Astyanax mexicanus: one gene and its partner. The protein of the gene in region 1 purifies or fractionates together with the protein of each later gene. This does not show direct contact. Links are inferred from orthologs where the notes say so. Each region holds a gene or a part of one and is shown on either strand. Other genes may lie near its edges.

Region 1 (7,252 bases):
AATTGGATCAGCTGTCCACATTACTGATGTTCCTTCTCTCAATTTGTCCTCTTCTCTACCTCCACCTTCTTCTGGAGAAGAGGAATAGGAAAGGTGAAGGAGTCGTAGCAAAAGTTCCTGGACTCATAATCTACTCATCCTCTGATCTATCTTGTCTTTTATCTGATGTCTGTACAGTGACTGCATCTAATCATTTTGATCTACATGATGAACTTCATCCTCTGAGTACAGACTCTTCACTCTGTCAGATTGCTTTGGGTAAAAAAAACAACTTTTTTTTAAAGTGCTTTTTCTTCACAGGTACTGATCACATCAAAACAGCTGGTGTTTTATCCTCTTGAAAGTGACTTTGTGCTCTATATATATGGTAAGTTTTCCTGTAGTTATAATAATCTGATATTATATGGTTGCTGTGATGTTTTAAAATCAACACATTATTCTTACTGTAAAGTGAAGAAACATTAAAAAAAATCACTGAGCAAAAGTTGTGCTTCATTTTTAACTAGTTTTTAACTGTACTTTTTGTCTCACTTGTCTGAATTTCCTCTACAGGGAATATCCTCCTGGATTTAACTGGCCTGACTGTAGGTTGAGGTAATGATGCGTTTATTCATTATTCACCCCAAGTCGATACCATCATGGCAGACTGTTTTGTCGTGATGTTTTTTTATCTTGGGAGATCATATGCAGGACTGGCACAGGTTTTAGTTGAACTGATCTACATAAACCTGACTAGAAGGCCTGCTACACGCTTTAACCTGTATTCTCTTATAGTTCTGTAACAGGAGAGGGTGACCTGTGATTCTGTTTGCAGGGAGATGGAGAACTGGACCTCATCTGATGGAAGATGAAGACACTGTCTGATGTGGATCTTTAATTCAGGAGCTGCTCGATTTCTGCGTCTTAGACTGTAGAAGCTACCAGAAGCCCAAACAAGGAGTTTATAGATCTATTTTTAATGTATCAGTATAAAGGCAGTGGTTCTGAAACTGTTCCTCTGTAATGTATGGATGGAATGTATCTCTGTAATGCTGTCTTGGAAGGTTGTGTAAAAGGCATTTTTCATTAAGTGTTTCACCACATGAATAAAATGTACCTGTTTTTGTTGAACAAGAGTTTGTCTGCTTGCCCTCACTGCTTTGCTTTAAGTGATCTTATACAGTAAATACACTCATTTTAACAGGGCAGAGTTACAACAGTCATGTTTTACACAAAGAACAAGGTAGAAGACAACCCAGAATCATACTGAAAGATATGAGCTTTACACTTTCAACAATCATAAGGACTTTCTCTAAGCTTTTCAAGGTTATTTTTAAACCACAAAAAATGAAATAAGAAATCGCAGTAGCAGTTAATGGTGCTGAATAAAGTTAAAATACTTTCAGAGGTTTGGTTTGCTTGTTAAACTTTGCCATTTTAAAAAAGGACTAACATTAATTTAAACAATTCCTTTTCAAGATTTCTAAATTAGAGGCAGACACTTTTACACTATAATCATGGGGGAGAGTTTTTTGCTTTGGTTTTTAAAATCTATAATCTAAAATGACATTGTTCAGGCATTTACTGTCCCAGTATCACCAACCATGACTTAGCCTCGTAAACCAGTCTGACCCTAGTGCCATTTTTAAGTTTATAAAACAGGGATTCTAGTAAAACTTGTTTGGATTACTAGACAGGACAGAGTCTAAAAACGTGATATAAAAAATATAATTTGGAACATTGAACACTTGAAATTTATTTGGTAGTTTTAAATCTGGCTCCTTTTTAATAGGAACAGTAACTGAGCATGTGCACAATGAGCAATCATTCTAGCTTGTCTCTGATTGGAGGATGGAAGGCTTTATAACTCCCTGATCTCTACTATAGTGAATACATGCTCAGCATTAATTGATGTATAATAATTAGCTATATTTAGCATTGTGTAATGCCTTGTTTTTGTGTGTTGTATAGATGCAGTGCTCTGTGGGAGCTGCTGTTATAAAGGTTTCGTACTGAAACTTTATAGTCTGTACTTAAAATCTAAAAATCCTTATCACTACTGCTGTGGTCTAAAACCGTCTGTTAGATGCCCTTTATCTGGATGTGGGTTACACAGCCTTCACCTCTGGAGGAACTAAAATTTGATTTGAATCATATATATGGTCTACTTTGTGTGTATGTGGAAATCTTAATTCTATTTATTCTATGATTTATTCATTTGTATATTTATCATAAGGTGTATATGGTTGTGGGTAAGTTATTCTTGTATTTCTGTGGGCTCTGCTCTGTTTGGCTTTTTTCTAGTCTCTGAACTCTGTGAATTAGGCCTGGTATGTAATGATTTTAATGTATTTTAAAAATGCATCTTTGAAAAAATCTAATAAAAATATTTAATCTGAAAATATTTAATCTGTCTTTAGTGGCAGAGCATCTTTTTTATTATCTTGCCAAAAAATACAGGTTTAATTTCATTGGACATTTATTATAGTTACAAGAAGAAGTTTTATTTATGTATTTTTTTACCTTTTGCCTTTTCTTTAAACAAAGAATTGTGCTTATATAATATTGGTTATATTTTTATATTATCTGTTTATTTAGTGAAGAGATAGAAGTTTGGGATTTTTTTTCTTACTCTTACTCTAACTTTTTCTTTTCTCATGAGGTTTTTAAGTCATTTTGTATATAATGCAAATAAAAAAGGCCTAATAAATAAGGATTAAATATATTTCTCATTATTATTATAGCCACAGTCTGTGATTCTGTGAGAAGGTTTTAAACTGTGGTCTAATCTTCAAGTCATAAAAAAAAACAAAGACTTTTATTATTTGTCTAACAAAAGCACAAACAAGGGTCACATTTCCATTTCTATAAAGAGCAAATGGTTTAAACAATAGAGATCTTTGCAATGCAAAACTATTTAAATGACCTGAGCAGTTTTTAAAGGATGGCAATAAAGAGTCGGCAGCTGCTGTCAGATCAGACTGGATTTACCTGCCTAGTGTGAACAAGAAAAACGGGAGAAATATCAGGGTTCTAGATTAAATATTATAAACATATTTATAATTTCTTACTCATGAGCCTCCAAGAGTGGCCTTTAAGCTAGGTTACTATAAAGTATGTGCTTTAGGTCTTTGTAAAAACAATTTTCTAAGTAAGACTGAAGGCATAGGTTTCAATAATGACTTCAATGTTCTAATAAAAACAAAAAAGTCATTCCTAAAAAAGTTTGCAATAGATACATTTAACCAAAAAATGGTTCACAACTCCAAACAACAAAGATTAACTCACACACCAAAAAAACAATATAGCCAGGGAGGAAAAAGAACAAACAAATGCAAATTAGATTACATTTAAATATATATATATATATTTTCAGTCCCTTCTCATAATTAGTGAAACCAAACAAAACATACAAAAAACATGTAAAACAGATTCTGGTTACAAATCACAAAATGTACAGTTTGTAGTAACTTAAATCCACTAGTTATCAACCCAAAACACATTGTTGTTGTTTTTTTTCATTATTATTATTCATTTTGTATCCAAACAATAAACAATACAATCCAACAGCATGAAATATACACAATAATAGGTCAAATACACAGCAACAACAGTCCACAACAGCACATGCACTTTAAAACAAAAAAAAACTAAACAACAGAAAAAAAGAAAAGTGGGATTCAAATAAAATTAAAACGCTTCAAAATATCGATGGATTTATGACATTTTTTATTTTTATTTTGTCGAAAATTAGTCAGTAAGTGGAAATAATTATTCTTATATATATATATTTTATAATAATTAAGTCTGAGTAAACAAAAGTTTGAAAAAAAAAGTTAATTTAGTATGGTGTATATAAAAATGTCCTAAAATAATAATTAAATTTACTATATTTGTATATATTTGTTAACTATATTTGTATATCATTGTGATCAAAATAAAGGGTCATCAAAAATATTCAATATATTCACCATTATTTATGGTAGAGAAAGGAGGCGCCAAAATGGGGACTTTTATTTTGTCGGGTGTAGGCGGTGTAGTGTGGCGGGGCTGCGGGACTGTGGCGCGGTTTATCAAACCCTGAGCAACACCAGATCATCATCCAGCAGCAGCAGCAGCAGCTCCGCTTTAAACCCTTTAAATCATGTCTGACCCGCGCAGATACAGACAGGAGGAGAGCTGCGCTGCGGAGGAGAACAGGTACATGTGTTTCAGGGTTGATTAGATGTAGTTTGTGGGGATTAAAGTTCAATAAATCCGTGTTTATCTCCGCTTTACCCGGATCTGTGTGTGAGTTAGCCGGACTGGGCTAGGCTAGTTAGCTTAGCTTCATTTCTCCCGCGAGTTTCAGAAACCGCGGGATTATTATCCGGCTATCTGAGAGCTGCTGTTCGTTTTTGGAGCTGTTTTAGCAAATTTATACTTTATTTAATATTTAGGTACCAGCCTTTACACTTTTATTGATTTATTAATTTGCTGCTGATTGTGTTATTTAGTTAAGTTAGCTTGCTAAGCTATTTAACGTTAAGTGTGCCTCATTTTTTATGTTGAAGCTGTGTAACAAACTTTAAGTAACATAACCTAACACTAACTAACTAACTAGTGCAAGAGTTTTTATTTTTAGTTAACCTTGAAGAGCTTGATTTGGATTCGTTGTTATATAGATAGATAGTTATTTAACCCTGCTGAACTGCATTGTTCATTGTGCTGGAGTGTTTGTTTATTAATGGTGAGCTTGTTAATTTAACTACATTAATAAAACAGTTACAATGCTAGTTTATTAACTAGCTAACAGCTGGCTGGTTCGGTCATTAAGCTTGTGATTTGACTATATATATTTTTATATATTTTTTGTTTTGTACTAAAATAACTAACTTAGCTAGACTAACTAAATGTCATATTAAACATACTTAACTAGCTAACCTAGGCTTAGCAAATTTGCGAGCGGACAAGTTAACTGAGCGACAGCTGAACTTTATTATTAATATAATCAAGTATTATGTTAAGTGTAAATAATAGTATTTAATTCTGAATTGGCTGGAGAAAAGCTTGAGCGCTGGAGTCTCTTCTGCTTTGGCGCGAAATGGTAAAGTGCTGTTGTTCAGTTTGAGTTCTGAGTTCCAGAAAAATAAAGCTGCTAGATTAGCTGGCGTTACCTGACGACTAACACACTAAATAAATAAACAAACTAAATAATTTAACATTAAATAGAGCGTTGATGTGTTTAGAATTGTTTAAAACTTAAAGCTGGTTTAATTTGCAAATGCTTATGTGACATTTTTATAGAAAGTCTTTTAAACTTTGATTCTGAATATATTTGGTGACATATAAACTGAAAGAAGAAGTATTCTGAATGTTTTTTTCTGTTTGTTTTTGTCTGATTCAGTTCTGTTTTTAACCCCCTGTGTCTGTGTGATTCTGTCAGGAACAAAGGGTCTTCCAGATGGTCGCAGTGCCGGAAGCGTGGAGCTGATGGAGTCGTGAGAGGATCACAGAAAGAAGCTGAATTAACTAATAACACTGACAGAAAAGGCAACAGACCGCACAGACCTAACAGGTAAAGATATTTCTGTATTTTATTTATGTTTTTGTTAGAATAAAGTTATGATTCCTTTTGTGTGTGTGCGCATGTGTTTTGGTCAGGGGTGTCAAAAATTAGTACCCTGTTTTAGGCATAATTTTGAATGTCTTTCTCTGTGTTCTAAAAAGCAGTAGCAGGTTAAATAATGATGTTTTTATTCTCCACCACTAGTTTCACGACTCCAGAAAGCGAGGGACCTGTCTCGAGGATAAGGGACTGGGGAGATGAGGTGGAGTTTGATGAAATGCGCACTAATGTGCGACGTGACATGCAGCGGTCAGTTCTCTTTCTTTTTCTCTTTTCTTTTTTAATTTACTTATTTATGTGTTTTGTTACAGGCTTTAGCAGGTTTAGTTAATGTCAAGCAGATCTGTGCTTGTCTGTAAATTTAATATTTCTTGTTGTTTCAGTTACAGACGAAGGATACTGGCTGGAGAGTTTACACAAAGAGAGAGAAAAACCTCGTCTGGAAGGTTTGTTATGGCTAATATTGCTAAGATTTTCTTCTATTGTGAAATTGAAGGGGTTTAGTATTAATGCTTTTTTTTTTTTTTTTTCATTTTGTGTGCAGTTCAGACTCCAAAGATTCCAGGGACTCTCCTGCACCTGGAGAATTTGAGACAGATGAGTCTGTTTTAATGAGGAGACAAAAGCAGATCAACTATGGAAAGAACACACTCGCTTATGACAGATACATTAAAGAAGTGCCAAAGTGAGTGAAATGCTTTATTATTCTGTTGCCATTTTTATTTACACTCTAGTCTCGCCTAAAATTCCTAAACTATATATATTTGCTTTATCTAATCCATCAGTTTATTCTTTAATATTTATTTATATTCTCTTCCTAGACATTTGAGACAGCCAGGAGTCCACCCCAGAACTCCTAACAAGTTTAAGAAATACAGCCGCCGCTCTTGGGATCAGCAGATAAAACTGTGGAAAGTCAAACTTCACGCGTGGGATCCTCCTACTGAAGAGGGCAACGACCTGCAGGCAGCGTAAGTAATTATTTCTTGTATTTTAGTATATTCTTAGGCATATATTATGCATTAAAAAAAGTTGTCTTTTCTTTTGTATCTAAAAATCATGCATACTTAATGCAGCTCATATTAATAGATAATTGATTAAATAAATGCAAAAGTACATATGTTTAGATTTGACTGAGATTTAGTCATTAAATTTAAGAATATATAAATGTTAAGGTGACTCATTACTGTGCAAAAAACATGTGCAATTGATATTTACTGTAATTGTAAATTGTTACCATTTCAATTTCAGATAGTCTATAAAAAAATCATATCAAAGTCTCCCTCCTTTGATGTTCATTGAAATGTTAAAGTTCTCTTCTCTTTGCTTTCTTTAGAGATCAGATTGACCTTGGTGAGATCATGGATTTGGATTTTGATATGGAAGCTTCAGTAGATGAGCTTCAGTACCCAAAGACCAGTAGTAGTGTTTCATCTTCGTTGCCACAGGTAAGTTGTTTAAACGTGAAAATATTAGAAAGTGTGGATTTATGGATCTGTATTTTGCTATAAAACATTTATTGCTTTTTTAATTAAAATACAGTATTGATATTTGTAATGTGTGAGTTTTAAGAGTTAAAAGTACACAAAAGTGATCTATAGAATACATATACACAGATTATTCTTGTTAGTTTGAAGTCACACCAGATATAAAACATACATTTTT
Region 2 (7,179 bases), on another chromosome or scaffold:
TGCTAAGTGGTTATTAGGTGGTTGCTTTATGTTGACTGGTGGCTTCTAGTTCTAGTGACTAGGTGGATAAAATGGTATAGTTAAGTGGTTGCAAGGTTTTGGTATGGTGTTGGTAAGTGGTTGCCATTGTATTTTAAGTCATTGCTATGGTGTTGCTAGGTGGTTGCTATAGTGTTTGTAAGTAGTGTTACTATGTTTTGTGTTTAAGGACAAAATTACCTTCAGACGCGTGACCTGCTTGTGTGTCCAGTCTTTGAACTCGGACGCCCCACTGCTGCTAACCCAGAGCCTGATAAGCACCGGTTCCATCAGTGAGTCAGAGACAGACGCAGGGCGTTGGGTCTGGAGGCCGGATCTGCAGCTCGGTGCAGGGCAGGCTGCTGTAGGTGGGTGTGAGGGCAGCTGGGTGGTTAATATGAGGCTGTAATGGATTATAGATGGGATCCGGGTCAGAGACGGAGGGCCGAGGCTGCAGTAGTGAACGAGACGCTCAGTTTAATTCCATGTTTTGGTCTTTGGCTCTTTTTTAAGCGCAGGCCGCAGCCTCACGGAAATATCATCACTGCGACGGACTCTCCCTCACTAATTACTGCCTACTGTACCAGCCAACAGCTCAGCCTCTCACTCACTATACTGCTCTTACTCTCTCGCTCGTTCAGCTTTCTCTCAGTTTTCTCTACCATTGCCTTCACTATTTCCTTATATATACAGTACTGTGCAAAAGTTTTAGGCACCTGTGGAAATTTTAAGTAAAGAAAAAGCTTTTATCTGTGCAGTAAGTGTTTATTATCTTAGTAAAACACATTATCTCAGCATTACAATAAATAGGTGTTTTAAGTTTTCCTTAAAACAACATCTCCTAATCTCACCTCCTCATCTAATAGAGTTTAATAGAGTTATTTATTTCTAGTTCTCATCATATTAATCAACACCTGGTTTGGTCTTGTTCTTCACCTTATTGGCTCACAGGATAAAACAGTATTTAACATACTTAGTTAAAATAAGTAACAATTCCTTGTTACGTTTTACTGTATTTATGTTTATTTGCATCTGTTCAAATCATATGTGGTCCTTTTTTTCAGGTAAAAAAAAAACACTCATATTGCTCTGGTGCCTAAAACTTTTGCACAGTACCGTATACACCTGCATTAATATGAGAAAAAACACGTACATGATCGTTCTGGATGGGAAAAAAATCACAGAGCATAAAACAAACATAAAAGAGAAAATTACCCAGAACCTCCAGAGAAAATGTTGTCTGTAGTTTATAGAATAAAACAACAATGTTCATTTTATTCAAACATAAACCTATAAATAGCAAAATCAGAGAAACTGATTCAGAAACTGAAACGATCTCTTTTTGTCCCAGAGCTGTATGAATCACTCAGAAGAATTACAATGATAAAGTAAAGTTGGATGTTAACAGTGACCTAAGGTAAGATTTAAGGAAAGTGTTGCACACTTGACTTGGGAAGGTGTGTGTGTGTGTGTGTGTGTGTGTGTGTGTGTGTGTGTGTGTGTGTTGGGGCGCAGGCTGGTGTTAGGTAATGTGTGGAGGGTGAAAGATGGAGTGATGAAGTGAGGGAAGGGATGAAGGGATGGGAAAGAGGAGGGTGCTGGAAGTCTGCAGGAAGATGGATCTCACCAGGAAGATTAATTAGTCTCTGACAGCGACAGCTAAAGTGTCACAGCCATCTGGAGAGTGTGGAACTTCAGGAGACTTCTGACTGTGTGTGTGTGTGTGCGTGTGTGTGTGTGTGTGTGTGTGTGTGTGTGTGTGTGTGTGTGTGTGTGTGTGTGTGTGTGTGTGTGTGTGTGTGTGTAAATGTGCGCATCCATGCATGCTTATGAGACTTGGAACTGTGCTTTCTGTATGTGTGTGTGTGTGTGTGTGTGTGTGTGTGTGTGTGGTTGTTGTCGATTAGAAAAGTTCTCAGAAAACATGTGAAAAGCAACTGCAGAGTGTTAGAGAGGACCATCAGCTCCCATGACCTTCACAGCTAGTGTGTGTGTGTGTGTGTGTGTGTTGCACATACATTATATGAGCAAAACTATTTGAGACACCTGGTCACTCATTGTTTCTTCTAAAACTAAGGTATTAAAAAAGTTTATCCTGCTTTTATTGGAATAACTGTCTCTAATGTCAGTAATTTGAGTGTAACTTAAAGTAACTTTATTCATTAAACAACGTGGAACAAACATAGGGACATACAGCTCTGTAAAAAATGAGTTTTATTGATTTTACCAAATTATAAACCTCTGGAATATAATCAAGAGGAAGATGGATGATCACAAACCATCAAACCACCAAACTGAACTGCTTGAATTTTTACACCAGGAGTAAAGCAGCATAAAGTTATCCAAAAGCAGTGTGTAAGACTGGTGGAGGAGAACATGATGCCAAGATGCATTAAAAAAAAACTGTGATTAAAAACCAACCAGGGTAATTTCACCAAATATTGATTTCTGAACTCTTAAAACTTGATGAATATGAACTTGTTTTCTTTGATTTCTTTTTTTTCTCTGATTTTGCTATTTATAGGTTTATGTTTGAGTAAAATGAACATTGTTGTTTTATTCTATAAACTACAGACAACATTTCTCCCAAATTACAAATAAAAATATTCTCATTTAGAGCATTTATTTACAGAAAATGAGAAATGGCTGAAATAACAAAAAAGATGCAGAACTTTCAGACCTCACTTAATGCAAAGAAAACAACAAGTTCATATTCATAAAGTTTAAGAGTTCAGAAATAATCAATATTTGGTTGAATAATCCAAATGGTTTTTAATCCCAGTTTTTTTTTCATGCATCTTGTCATCATGTTCTCCTCCACCAGTCTTACACACTGCTTTTGGATAACTTTACGCTGCTTTACTCCTGGTGCAAAAAATCAAGCAGTTCAGTTTGGTGGTTTGATGGTTTGTGATCATCCATCTTCCTCTTGATTATATTCCAGAGGTTTTAAATTTGATAAAATTAAAAAGAAACTCATTATTTTTAAGTGCTCTCTTATTTTCTTCAGAGCTGTATGTACATAAAACATAAAACAGTAATTATTTTTCTGTTGCCATGTGTTGTTGTGACCAGAAGGGGGCAGTGGAAACGATGGACAGAGGCTGATGCGGCAGTATGTCGATGTAACCAGCAGGCGGCGCCACACATCAGCAAACTTTCAAATAAATTAAGAAATATAAAATATTCCTTTATAAACACGCCAGTGATTTATTGATGAAGCTCATAGCATCACAAATAATGCAGTAATATTATTACTAATAACGTATTTACGGCGAAATTGAAAAAAAAAAAAAAAAAAATATATATATATATATATATATATATATATATATATATACATTATGTATTTTGTAGCCATATAAACTGCAATCTGTTACTACCATGAGTATACTGATAGTATATGTGTTACATATAACATTTGTGTTATACAGTGTCTTAGATGCATAACCCTCCAAGTTAGGTTTTGGATAATTAATGTACATTTATTTTACCTCGCAATAGAATTATCAAACAACAAAAAAACACAACAATAAAAACTGTACATAATGTAAAAAAAGTTATTTAAATTGAATTTTAACTTTACTCTATATTTGTTAATTCAGAAAAAAATATTGAGTAATTACGTGTTATTACAATGTGTTTGTATGAAATGCAAACAATACGCTGCAATATGAAAGACTCATTATACTGATATAAACGATTGAATATCTCAAAATAATAACTGAATATCTTAAAATACCACAGTATCTAGTAAACCTATAGTAAAAACATTAATTAAATAGTTATTATGAATTAAATACAAAATAACGACTTAGTATCTCAAAATAATAACTCAGTATCAGAAAATAACAAATTAAAAAGGACTTAAAGTATCTTATATCATATTAATGGCATACTATGTAAAAATGATTTGTATCTTAAAATAAAGACACATACGGGCTCTTAGGGAACTTCCGGTGCCTCGTGCTGAAACCGCTCTCCGACTACATTTCCCAGTATTCCTGAGTGGAGCCGTGACGTCACACTCCCTGCATTCTCCTCTCCCGGGTCGTGTCTGAGTAACGCAACCGGAGCTTTTCCCCTCACCGCCCTCCACCCACACACACACCCGGGTCCCCCGGCCCGCAGACCCCGCCAGCGCACCCATGACCCGGCGGATTTAACGCGCGGAGGCCGCCCGGATCCCCCCGCCAGCCTGAGTCCGCAGTTCGGGTGAGTTCGGCCGCGTTTCTGCCCTTATGTGAGCGGGTCGCTCTGTAAACAGTGAGCCGCCGCCGCCGCTGCTACTGCCGCTGTCAGGAACCATCAGTGTAGCTGTAGCTTTACTGAGCCTCTCTCACACTGTTTACAGCTAAAACTCGCCTTATTCCGCCTTAAAAACACTTAAATTCTTCACCAGCGTGTAAAAGAAGAGTCTAAAATATAAATATCAGCACTGAGCTGCTTCTGTTAGTGCTGTAAACCTGTTGACAACGTGTCTGTTGTGTAGAATCTGCTGTAACTACAATAGTTAAGCTAGTTAGCTTAGCTAGTTTGGGTTTAGCGAGAGTTAAGTAACGTTAGCTAATTAACTAACTATTTAACTTAATTAACTAATTAAAAACGTCTGGAATATAATCAAGAGGAAGATGGATGAACACAAACCATCAAACCACCAAACTGAACGGCTTAATTTTTTGCACCAGGAGTAAAGCAGCATAAAGTTATCCAAAAGCAGTGTGTAAGACTGGTGGAGGAGGAGAACATGATGCCAAGATGCATGAAAAAAAAAACTGTGATTAAAAACCAACCAGGGTTATTCCACCAAATATTTATTTCTGAACTCTTAAAACTTTATGAATATGATTTCTTTAGTAATTTCAGTCAATTCACATTTTCTGCAAATGAATGCTCTAATTGATATTGAATATTTTTATTTGGAATTTGGGAGAAATGTTGTCTGTAGTTTATAGAATAAAACAATAATGTTCATTTTACTCAAACATAAACCTATAAATAGCAAAATCAGATAAATTTATTTAAAAACTTAAGTGGTCTCTTAATTTTTTCCAGAGCTGTATTTAACTACTTAAATAAGGTAGTTAGGCTTAATTCTCCACGTTAGGCTAACTAGTTAGCTTCACTCATCTGGCTGGCTGCTTTTTATCATTAATCAATCAGTAATCTCTGTTTGGCCATTGACTTGAATTGCGCTGCATTGTTGTCCTGATTGATTGATTGATTGATCAGTTGAATGATTAAGTGGTTGATTTATTTTGGCCGTGTGTTGTGTAGGGATGAGTGATATGACCCTTAAATAATATCACGATATTTCATGATATTTTCACGATAACGATACTTTTGGTGATATGACAAAACACTGAATAAAATATATACATATTTTAAGAATACACTACTGAAACGAAATGAAAATGTAATTTTATTATTGCATACGATATGAAACAGCATACCCCTAACTGAGATCTTAAAAAAAATACAAGAATATTATCAGATTTATAACAAAAGTAAATTATCCAAATATCTCCATATGTCCAAAATTAAAGTAAAATAAATCATACTGGACAGATATAAATGTTGGCGATATGATTGTGTACGATACGATATGACACACTCCTAATATACAATTCAGTATATTGCAATATATTAATTTATAGCTTGTTGCGTTGTGATATATATATATATATATATATATATATATATATATATATATATATATATATATGTTCTTGTCAATGCACACATTTATTTAGTGTGTTATAATAGTACTAATGATTATAATAATAATGATTAATAGGGTTGCACAGAGGGAATGTGGAAATTCTTGCTGATGCCGATAACTGCTAACCGATATTATACATGTCCATATCTTCCAATGCCAATAAACACATTTATAATTTACAGAGATACTATACTTTTTGGTCTAACTTAACAAACAAATGTTACATTTATTTGCATTACATTTTAGCTTTCTACCAACTTATGCAAACAATAAAATTGAAAAGTTTTCTCTTAATTTTTTTTTTTTTTCATTTTTTTTGGCTAACAGATCCTTACATAGACTGTTCACTGCTTTAAATACTATTTTTTAACAGGTAAAAAAAAAAATCTTTTGACATTAATCCTTTTTCGGCATACAATAAATACACCATGACCAATGCTGATTAAGCCTGATACTGATATAATTCCAGTATCATCATGCATCCCTAAAGATTATCAAACCAAAGTTGGGGTTTTAGTTTGAGATAAATTAGCTAAAATGCAGGGTAGCAGTTCATTTTAAAATATTATTATGGTATTAAAATGTGAGGTTCTCTCTTTTCTAGAGTATACAGAGCATTATGTTTTTCTGCTGGATCTGGCTGCAGTATTAGCAGTAGTAATAATAATGTGGGTCATGTGAGGCTGTAAAGTGTGCAGTGCATGCTTTATGAAGGACTGGAGCTCAGCACTGTTGCGTCATCTTTGTTGACCGGCTCCAGAGCTCGGCATGTTAGCATGTCTGGCTAAAATGCTAACAGGGGATGAGCTTTACAGATGTTGAGAGGTTGGCTGAGCTCCAGTCTCGGCCACGTTGAGACAGGGGCGGGTGTTCCAGCACATGATTTAATTTAAAGCTGCAGTGCCCTCAGCTCAGCTCTGCTCTGCAGTCAGGTTAACATTCAGTACATGTTCAAATAGTTCATATATACAGTATATCTAATAAAAGCTGCTCAGATCAGATTTGTGTATCTTGTCGGTTCACATTCACTGTAAATGTAAGTGATCTGTATCTGTGTGTAATGTGAACACAGAATCTGTCCCTGAATCGTCTCACATGCTGCACATTGATACCTGTATAAACGCCTCCTTCTTCACCAACAACAAAAACCCTCATATTAGAGAGAGGAGAGACTCGTAGCTTTATAAAAGGAAATGGATGTAGAGTTAGCAGCTCATATGTGGAGCATCTTTTGCTGGAGTGAAGAAACAGGAAACAGCTGCTCTTAAGTTCATGCTCAGGTCCAGGAGGTGAAAAAAAAAGGACAGTTTGCTTTTGCTGTTTTTTTTTGCAGCTGCACCAAGAAATACAGTGTGGGTACGAGAGACAAGCACATAGCCCCAATGCTAATGCTAATGTGTAAAAGCAGCAAGATGCATAAATTCAGATTTGACCGTTCA

Evidence for each region.
Region 2: the proteins of histone RNA hairpin-binding protein (region 1) and ctif purify together in Homo sapiens (affinity purification with western blotting; 3 studies listed by BioGRID). This does not show direct contact. The link is inferred for Astyanax mexicanus from reciprocal best matches to the Homo sapiens genes SLBP and CTIF.

The regions. Positions count from the first base shown.
Region 1 is NC_064417.1:316,572-323,823, reverse strand, and holds the start of histone RNA hairpin-binding protein, read left to right. Parts: upstream 1-4,023; 5' UTR 4,024-4,123; coding exon 4,124-4,179; intron 4,180-5,404; coding exon 5,405-5,536; intron 5,537-5,731; coding exon 5,732-5,836; intron 5,837-5,970; coding exon 5,971-6,033; intron 6,034-6,131; coding exon 6,132-6,272; intron 6,273-6,408; coding exon 6,409-6,558; intron 6,559-6,923; coding exon 6,924-7,035; intron 7,036-7,252. UniProt on the Homo sapiens protein: RNA-binding protein involved in the histone pre-mRNA processing.
Region 2 is NC_064424.1:46,833,251-46,840,429, forward strand, and holds the start of ctif (CBP80/20-dependent translation initiation factor), read left to right. Parts: upstream 1-4,054; 5' UTR 4,055-4,233; intron 4,234-7,179. UniProt on the Homo sapiens protein: Specifically required for the pioneer round of mRNA translation mediated by the cap-binding complex (CBC), that takes place during or right after mRNA export via the nuclear pore complex (NPC).